Linked DNA regions of Arabidopsis thaliana. The protein of the gene in region 1 interacts with the protein of each later gene in a pairwise test. Each region holds a gene or a part of one and is shown on either strand. Other genes may lie near its edges.

What was found.
Region 2: the proteins of AT5G25940 (region 1) and ABCG13 interact in a protein complementation assay, tested with the Arabidopsis thaliana proteins (one large-scale study listed by BioGRID).

What each region holds. Positions count from the first base shown.
Region 1 is NC_003076.8:9,053,596-9,057,074, forward strand, and holds AT5G25940 (early nodulin-like protein), read right to left. Parts: upstream 1,661-3,479; 5' UTR 1,557-1,660; coding exon 1,451-1,556; intron 1,367-1,450; coding exon 1,305-1,366; intron 1,048-1,304; coding exon 972-1,047; exon of another isoform or gene 761-971; coding exon 657-760; 3' UTR 527-656; downstream 1-526. Other genes in the region: AT5G25930 (kinase family with leucine-rich repeat domain-containing protein), read left to right, coding at 1-383.
Region 2 is NC_003070.9:19,076,318-19,083,217, reverse strand, and holds ABCG13 (ABC-2 type transporter family protein), read left to right. Parts: upstream 1-1,766; 5' UTR 1,767-1,882; coding exon 1,883-2,069; intron 2,070-3,651; coding exon 3,652-3,731; intron 3,732-3,815; coding exon 3,816-4,277; intron 4,278-4,351; coding exon 4,352-4,474; intron 4,475-4,556; coding exon 4,557-4,718; intron 4,719-4,805; coding exon 4,806-5,090; intron 5,091-5,172; coding exon 5,173-5,445; intron 5,446-5,540; coding exon 5,541-5,648; intron 5,649-5,729; coding exon 5,730-6,086; 3' UTR 6,087-6,380; downstream 6,381-6,900.

The DNA.
Region 1 (3,479 bases):
ATGTGTACAGCTTCGGGGTAGTTTTGCTAGAGCTGGTGACTGGAAGAGAAGGAAACAACGGAGATGAACACACAAACTTAGCAGATTGGTCATGGAAACATTACCAATCTGGAAAACCGACCGCAGAGGCGTTTGATGAGGACATCAAAGAAGCTTCCACGACTGAGGCGATGACAACAGTTTTCAAGCTAGGTCTCATGTGTACTAACACATTGCCTAGTCATAGACCTTCCATGAAAGAGGTCTTGTATGTTCTGCGCCAACAAGGACTTGAGGCGACGAAGAAGACTGCAACAGAGGCATATGAGGCACCTCTACTAGTTAGTTTATCGGGTCGAAGGACAAGTAAAAGGGTAGAAGATGAAGATTTAGGTTTTGTATAATCAAATAATCACAACACTTGATGTTGTTTTTTTTGTGAAATGTACAAATGTATTAGAAACCATTTAGTTTTTGTGTAAGCAAAGTTTTAGTTAAGAGTATAACTACCAGCTTGTAACTTATTTGAGAACAAAATCTGAAAGTCTGAATAAAAAATGGTCTTAAAGAATTTGTTATTCCTTATAATAATAACACTCTTATTAAGAATCAAGGCAAAATATGCATACAAAACAGAGAAAGATGATGATTGATTTGTGTTACAATAAGAAGAGAAATTATTTAGAGTCTTGCTGAACTTTCTTTAACTGAGCCTCGGTGTTTCTTCTTGCGCCTTGTAGAATCGTTTTATCCGCGGTTATGAAGAACGCAGCGATAGAAGCTGTTCCAATGATCACCATAATCACAAGATAGAAATCAGAAGAAAATTGTGGAGAAATGAATGTACGAATACTTAAAAACCCCAAACTCAACTAGGTTCAAAAGGGAAGTTCGAGGTTTCTACAACAATGTTAAAGCTAGTATCTTTTTTCTACTTAGTTCCAGGAAGAACATATAGTAATGATTTAAGGCATATTGCTGATAGAGCTAACCTGAAGAAATAATGAGTGCTTGAGCAGTGTAGTTGAGGTTTGCCTTAGCCCACGGGAACATACGAACGGCAGCTACCTGTTACGAAAACAAGGCATGCTTATGTACCAAATTCATATCTTATATACACATCAAAAAGAATGTGACTCTACTTGGTGTATTCAGAAATCACAAAATGAATAGGTAACAAAATTGAAACTCTTGATTATTACAGAACATGAGATTGGTGAGTCACTTTTGTCTTAAAATTCAACAACAAAGAAACATAACTCTTACATTTAATTCATTTAAGATCTCAATTTAAAAAATTTAGATAAGTGAGATTATATGATTACTGTGGGAATCGCACTGGCGACGGCGGCAACGGCGGCGGCCTTAGCTCCGGCAATAGCTCCGGCTGTAACATAATCCAAAGTCATCAATTTAAAAGATTTTTTTTAGGGGAAAAAAGAGAGAGAGAGACGGAGAAAGAAGAAGAGACCTTGTTTGGAAGTTTCGGCTCGATGGATCTTAGCAATCTCGTCGGGAGAAGCTATGACGAAGAGATTCTGCTGCCTCCGGTTACCCATTTCTGACCGATTTTCCATTTTCAGTGTCGCTTTTTTGATCTTTCGATTTCAAGGAGAGAGAGAGAGAGAGAGACGGGTCGCGATTTGCCTTTTTCTTTGGTTAGGAAATAAATGATTAGGACGAAAATTAAAAATTCGTTTTTTTTTTTTATAAGTTGGGAATCTTTCACCAAAATAATGAAACGCCAATATTGAAAACAAAGTTGTCAAAATACTATAGTCTATAAAACGCCAATTTAGAAATGTATTTCAATCATGTATTTAGAATAATTTGTGTTAGAAAACAGATAAAACAATTATTATGTTATAGATTATTTTTAAAATAAAATAAAATTCAGTGGTTCGTAAATGTTTGTTATTGAGAATATTTTAAATTTTAGATTTTTAGTATTTTTAATGCACAATGGTCTTTTGGAGCGGTTTTAGAAATCGACTTAAGAAATGTTTGGAGTCAATTTTGTTACCATACGGATATCTTTAGAGATATAAGAAATTAATCGATTCAGTTTTAGATAAAATTTATAAGTGAAAAAATGATTAAAAAAATATAATAAATTAGTTAATTTCATTAATGATGATATTTTTGTATAGAAAGATAAATTAAAACTTAATTTTATATGTGATTAAAATAGTAATTTTTAAAAAATTGGTTAGTTTATTTTAATTACATAAAATTTAAAATAAAATTTTTGGTATAGAAGTTGAGTTTTAAATGAATTCGGCCTTAATGCTTCAAACATACAAAAGCGAAGATATAGAGAGCCCATCAAAAGTACTAGGGACCAACAGAAAATGTTAAGATTTTATTAATAGTTCAATATTCTTTTTTTAAAAATATTATAATACCTGAATTGGACTTGAGCCAAAGTTTTACAAATCAAAACAACAAATACAAAACGGAGGCAAGAATCTGACAATATCTCCGGTAGACGAGATCTTACTTCGGCGGTAGTTCAATATTGTTCTAATGATTTAACTTGATTGCTTAGATTGGATGATAGAATGTATTTCTAGTGTTCTAATTTAATTGGTTACTTGAACTTTGATACCCTTCTATTGCTATGGTTTTTATACACTTGTGGCAATGAGTGATATTGTAAATTAAATTAGAAAATATGGTGCTAAGGGATATGTGATATAATGCATATATATCCGAGCTACTCGAAAGTCGAAACAGGGTCTAAGCTTCCACCTATGGCTAATTGAGTACTTATGTGCATGAAACATGAGCATAAGAGGTTGATGGAGCTGTTTTACTGTATGCATCTTTCTGCAACCCAAATCCAAAGAGTAGTTGTAAATTTCATGAAAGTGAATGTAATGTCTATAGTCATGTCATAATGTTACTGACAGTCCAAGAGGTGAAGAGCGGTGTGCGGGTGTCTCCAAAATTGTATGTGGTATATTGTGTTTTTAGTGTCTTATGTCCTTTGTCTAGTGTTTGTTTTGAGTTGTTTGTCACATTTTTGTTCGTTTTTAATGTATTTTTCGGTTGTTTTGTACAAGTTTTACGAAGTTATACTGGAATTGGAGACTTTTTAAGTGAAAAACAGACGTTAGGAGATGAAACGGAAAAATGGTGATTCAAGACAACTCCGATGAATGCCATCAGACAACTTTTTGATGCTTAATTTTAAATTTTCTATCAAATTCCACTGGAAAATGGCATCGGACAATTCCCTGATTGAGCACCAATATAATTGAACCCTACCGCAAGAAGTATTGCCTCCTATAAAAACAAGTTGAGAACATTTTCAATGCGAGTTGTCTATAAAATTTTCGGTTGCAAATAAAATATAAATATTATTATTTTGGATCCTTAATTACATTTTTCCTACTACTTATAGAGCTTACATATCTGTTGTTTCTACTTTTACTTATTTTTTTAGTTATTGTGAAACAAAACATATATATTAATTTATACGAATTAAAGGTTTTCAG
Region 2 (6,900 bases), on another chromosome or scaffold:
AATTGATTATAGTTATGATATGGAAAAGATGGAAGAAGTCATTTAATAAGTTTATCTAACAATCTATGATTAGGTTATCGCAGTAATGAATTTTCTTTCTTAGCAGAAATGAATAATTTAGTCACACTAACTACATAGCTTTAATTTCTGTTGATACAATTGAAGACAAGAAGACATAAACGTTGAAACAGTGTATTTGGTACTGTGTATGTGTTTGATTAGCACGAAACATGGTTAAAAACATCACATGGTTAAAACAAATCCGTCACCATCTGTTTTTTTTTTTTTTTTTACAACATACTTGTTTTCCATTCGTCATATCCGAAAGAGAATAAATTTGCAAGCTCTTCAAATTCATGGTTCGGTATTATAATCTTAAAAAAAATATATAAACTTACAATATAAATAGAACGATAGGTTTGATAAACAATAAAAATAGATGATAGGGGGCCATAAATAAAAACTCGAAAACAAAAGTTAAATAGCAAAATGCAACAAGCAAGCTCATGATGTGTCGAATACACTTCTGCAAACAATTTGGGGGAGATTAAAAATAGTCACTATAAAAAAAATCTTATGACGTTGAGAATCCGTCTTTTGCCTCAAAAATTACCAACACGAACCACATTGAAGCAGCAAGGAACATTGGACGGTTTCTTTCCAGAGGCAGAAACTAAATAGTATATCTCAATAAGAAATTTAACATACGACCAAAATTAATTGCTTTATAAAAATAATTAAAATATTAATGATAACCTTTTCCGTGGTTAATTTTCGGCCATTATGATAAAATAATTGATCCAATCATATGTTTACACAACATACTTAAAATTCCTTATATACTCTCTTGATTACTTTCTTACCAGTTACATAAACTCAATATGCAACAACTAGATTACTTTAATCTAAACGTTCTGATATACGGCCTTATGTCGATGTTAAGTTATATATATCACGTTCACAATGTATATAAATAATTCAAATAATTTTCCAAAAGTAATGGCGTCTAAATATAGTTGAGTTGAATAGTATAGACTCTCCTCATGGATTTGAATTTCCTCTGTGATTCGTTTGAAAAAAAACAATGTTTTGGAGTGCTATACTAGTTGATACACCCAACCAAATCGGAATTTTATAAAAAATTTGGACAAAATTACCAGAAAATAAAATTATTGCAATTTACGTGATATATACCCTAAAGTGTTATGTTTCCTTAAATCGTGTAACGAAACCATAAGTTTCTTATCATGCGGATGTCTGTAGCTCTCGACATATATAGTACCGAACGGGTCCAACGAGTAAATGAATATAACATCAAACGTCAATTTTTCTGTCACATGCCTCGTCTATGCATGCATGATAGTGTACATATATAATAGTTTCCTTTCTGTCTTTTACACTATTCTTAATCCACTTTTCTGTTTTGCATGGGTAGATATTTTGTTTTGGTTTCATAAAATAAATAGAAACCAATATCATTTAGTTTGGTTCGATTTTTCTTCGGATTCTAAATTTTTTTTATTTTATTTTAACTAAACTATATGTTTTATTTATTTTTAGTCATGATTTATTTTATATATCAAAAATATGTAACCGAATTTATTACATCTAGTTTTTTCCAATCACTTTCTTTGGTACAGTTTCGGTTTGACTCAAATTAGTTTAAACCAATTTGGACCACCCTAATTTATACATTTTTTTTTTCAAAGACCCTAGTTCTCTTAATACATTCACCGCACAACTTTTTATAACTATAAATAAGGCCACAAGCATTCACACACATTACACTTTTCTCTCCCAAAGAAACAAAAAAAAAAACTCTTAAGCTAGAACAAGTTTAAAACTCTTCGCTCAGTTTTCGATCTATCTAACAAAAGCATACATGACTACGCCGGAGGGGGCGATGTATGTGGCGTGGGAGGATCTTACGGTGGTGATACCAAACTTCGGTGAAGGAGCAACTAAGAGATTACTGAATGGAGTGAATGGTTGTGGTGAGCCAAATAGGATCTTAGCTATTATGGGTCCTTCAGGTTCAGGCAAATCTACGCTTCTTGATGCTTTAGCAGGTCCCTTCTCTCTCTCTCAGACACACACACCCATACATGTCAAGATTAGCTCGTCGTTTTTATTATGTATTTCTTTTATTGTTAAATGGTTTTCCTCTATTATATAAATCTCAAATAAGCTGAAGCAACATCGACCAACAATTAAAAGATATAGTTTTTAGAGGAATTTAACAACCAACCACATTTAGCTTTGAAACCAACATTAAAGGATGAGACTTACCCACTTTGAACCTAGTATTTAGTGAATCGTTCTATGTACTCTATATATATATATATATAACTATAATTAACAATATACATGACGTTATGTCTTTCTTTTAAAAAATTGTCCAAGGAAACTTTCTCAATATACTATGTAAAAAGTGTTTCACTTTTGGAAAATAAGAAATTTCTGTTTTCTTACATTAAAAAATATTCACAAATCTTTTAGTAATTTTTATTTGGAATTGATAAGGATTTCTGCCATTCGTAGTTAAATTTGAGAATATAAGTTAGAATTTATTTGTTAGATATATATATATATATATATATATAGGTGTATGTCTGTGCGTGGGTGGGTGTGTGTCCTATTCAACATAAAATATTTAATTATTATTAACCTGTAAATTCGTATGTAATCAAAATTAACTAATATGATACTTGATTAGTTTTTTGTATATTGGAAAAATACATTACTACAATAAAATTGATAACTTTCCTATTTGAAAGCAACAAACTATGTACATACTGTATCAGTATCACAATTTGGTGAAATGAAAATATTAACTGAAGTTTTTGTACTCTTCTGTAATTTTTTTTTTTTTTCTTCTGTAACTTTGACCAAACGTAACATATATATATGTAAAAGAAATTTGAGAGCATGATATAACATATTTATGTATCAAGATATTTATAACTATTGAAAAACAGTGCTATATTTATATCTAAGTTTCATGTACACGATGAGACATATATAGATATTTCTAACTTTATATTTATGGATTCTAGCTACCAATTTTATTTTTTAAGTATAGCTATATACTATCGGAGTACTAAATAAATATTAAAAAAAAAATAGTTGCAATTTTCATGTTCTTAATTAATAAATTTACATCGTCGTACATTTAGTATTGAATAAATTGATAGTTACGTTTCTCTAACGTAGACTATGTACAGAAATTTTGCAGTAACATTTCTTATTAAATCATATTTTAAATGTTAACCAACTACCAATCACCAATATTCTGACACAAATATTTAGGATTGCACGATCGTATCTTCATACCGACTTGCGATCTCTTCACAAGTTGAACCCGGTTTGGTGACTGGTCGGACTCTTTGAGGGATGTTACGTTCAATCCAAAAACAATCCAAATCGATTATTATTTTCTTGACCAAACCTAAATTTGATTGGATTAAGAAGATCTTTATTTTATGCTTATGACTAATCGAAACCAATTTAATTTTACTGTGGCTAATATTCTTGTAAAAGCGAAAAACCCAAAACCGGGTTATAAGATTGTTCTATCAATGCTATAAGATTGTTCAAAAACATGAAAGATTTAACATCTAACATTAAAAGGTAAATTTGGTGATGGTACAGGAAGATTAGCAGGGAATGTTGTAATGAGTGGCAAAGTACTTGTCAATGGCAAGAAGAGAAGACTTGACTTTGGTGCTGCCGTAAGAAAATTTATCTTTTCTCTTTAGTTTTTACCCTTTTACACAATCAAACTATTATTATTCATGAATGTCCTAAACTCTCAGGCTTATGTGACGCAAGAAGATGTGTTGCTAGGAACTTTGACAGTGAGAGAATCCATATCTTACTCGGCTCATCTCAGGCTCCCTTCAAAGCTTACCAGAGAAGAGATCAGTGACATTGTGGAAGCTACAATCACTGACATGGGTCTTGAAGAATGTTCAGACAGGACCATTGGAAACTGGCATTTGCGTGGAATAAGCGGAGGAGAGAAGAAACGGCTTAGTATTGCCCTCGAGGTCTTAACAAAACCAAGTCTCCTCTTTCTAGACGAACCAACTAGTGGACTGGACAGTGCTTCAGCTTTCTTCGTGGTTCAGATTCTTAGAAACATAGCAAGCAGTGGCAAAACTGTGGTTTCTTCGATCCATCAGCCGAGTGGTGAGGTTTTCGCCCTCTTTGATGACCTGCTACTTCTGTCTGGAGGAGAAACTGTTTACTTTGGCGAAGCAGAATCTGCAACAAAGGTAATAAGATAGAGCATTGGCAAGAGTATATAACCATTATGCTCATTTGTGTTGTTGTTGCTTCGACATTGCAGTTCTTTGGTGAAGCAGGTTTTCCTTGTCCAAGTAGACGGAATCCATCAGACCACTTCCTTCGCTGTGTCAATTCCGATTTCGATAATGTCACAGCGGCTTTGGTTGAATCTCGGAGAATCAACGTTTGTTTTCCTCTGCCCTTCTTGTTTTTTCATGAACTTACAATACTCTCAAGCTTTTGACCTCGACCTTTTACATCTGCAGGATTCATCTTTCTCTCTTCACCAACTACATGAAACTACAAACACATTAGATCCTCTGGATGATATACCAACTGCAGAAATTAGAACAACACTTGTCAGAAAATTTAAGTGTTCACTTTATGCAGCAGCTTCAAGAGCAAGAATTCAAGAAATAGCATCGATAGTAAGTTACGGTTACTACTTCCCTTAAAACTACAATGTATCACATAATGAGAGTCTCATAAGCACAGTTATAAACCTTGTGCAACAGGTGGGGATTGTCACAGAAAGGAAAAAGGGGAGCCAAACTAATTGGTGGAAACAACTCAGAATACTTACTCAGCGATCTTTCATCAACATGAGTAGAGACTTGGGGTACTACTGGATGCGGATTGCAGTCTACATAGTGTTATCCATTTGTGTCGGGTCAATCTTCTTCAACGTCGGGAGAAACCACACAAATGTTATGAGTACTGCAGCTTGTGGCGGATTTATGGCAGGCTTTATGACATTCATGTCAATAGGAGGATTCCAATCCTTCATTGAAGAAATGAAGGTAAAGAGCTAAACAGAGAAAAATTCTCTTTCTTCACCTAAAAACTTATCTTATGTTTTAGCATCTTTATTCCTGAAAACAGGTGTTTTCTCGCGAAAGGCTCAATGGACACTATGGGGTTGCAGTATACACTGTGTCTAATTTACTCTCCTCATTACCTTTCATAATCCTTATGTGCCTCTCCACCAGCTCAATCACTATCTACATGGTGAGGTTCCAATCCGGAGGTTCTCATTTCTTCTACAACTGTCTCGACCTTATCTGCGCGATTACAACTGTGGAGAGTTGCATGATGATGATAGCTTCAGTAGTCCCTAACTTCTTGATGGGAGTCATGTTGGGAGCTGGTTACATTGTAAGAGTGGCCTCTGTCGCTCTTTCACCTACAAGCTTTCTTATATCTCCAAAAACTATTCTAAATTGAAAACCGCTTTATCCTTCATCTCATAGGGAATTATGGTGTTAAGTGCGGGGTTTTTCCGATTCTTCCCCGACTTACCAATGGTGTTCTGGCGATACCCGGTGTCCTACATAAACTATGGTGCATGGGCACTACAGGTAACCAGGTTTTCTCAACTTTAAGATGCAGACTATATCGTCAAGTAGCTATCTTAAATGAGCATACCTGATAAATTGCAGGGAGCATACAAGAATGAGATGATTGGGGTGGAGTATGATTCTCCGTTACCCTTGGTACCAAAAATGAAAGGAGAACTCATTCTTCAAACTGTTCTAGGCATAAATCCAGAAAGTTCAAAGTGGTTGGATCTAGCAGTTGTGATGATGATTCTCATTGGGTATAGGATTGCCTTCTTCGCCATCCTCAAGTTCCGGGAAAAGGTTTTCCCAGTTATTCACATGTTATACACAAAGAGAACTCTGAGCCATATCCAGAAAAGGCCTTCTTTCAGAAGAATGACACCTTTCCCTTCCAGGCGATACCCTGTTCACCATGCTCTCTCTTCTCAGGAAGGACTTAACTCTCCACTGCATTAGAAGCATATACAGCAGGATGCAATTTCCATATATTTCAATATGTCAGATGTCACTCTCTTCAAACTTGATAAACTGTTTGTAGCCCGTTGTGTAAGGAAAAAAAAAAGAAAAGAGAGATACTATCATTCTGACTAATGAGATTTGTTTAGCATGAGGATGGTATCTATCAGAGATACATATATTGGAGAAAAAAGATAAGCATGGCTACATTATCAGATTACAAGTGATGCATGCATGAACCCCTAAGAGAGAGTCTACCAACGAACCACCGTAAATATATCAAATAAGGCACTTCGTTTGCTAACATAGCTTCAGAAGAAACTGTGTTATGGAAATCAAATAAACAGAAGATGGTATGGAGATTTGTTACCTGGCTGGCAGTAGAACACTGGTCCTTGCTTGATAGCACCAGTGACGCAAATCTATAATCTGTGCAGCACAAGAACAGAACAGACCAGGCATATTTGACTTTTATCACTAAGTGCCATGAAATCTCCTCTTTTAGCATATAGTTGATAGGGAATAGAATCAAAACTAACAAAAGTAACCTCCCAAAGGCGTTTGTTGAACAGATAGAGAACAAACAACGAGATACTTAAAACCTTAAAAGTGTAAAACCAAGCAAAAATGGTAAATTTTCAACTTTGGGAACCCAAATATAAGCTCCCAGAAATATTACATAGTAAGGAAAAAAAATACACAAACAATCAATAACTTTAAACAAATATGGCTAATCCAGTTGTAAAATCAGAAAAAACCAGTCTGATTATTTTAGAGTAGACATGTACAGAACTCATTTGTTGTTCATTTGCTA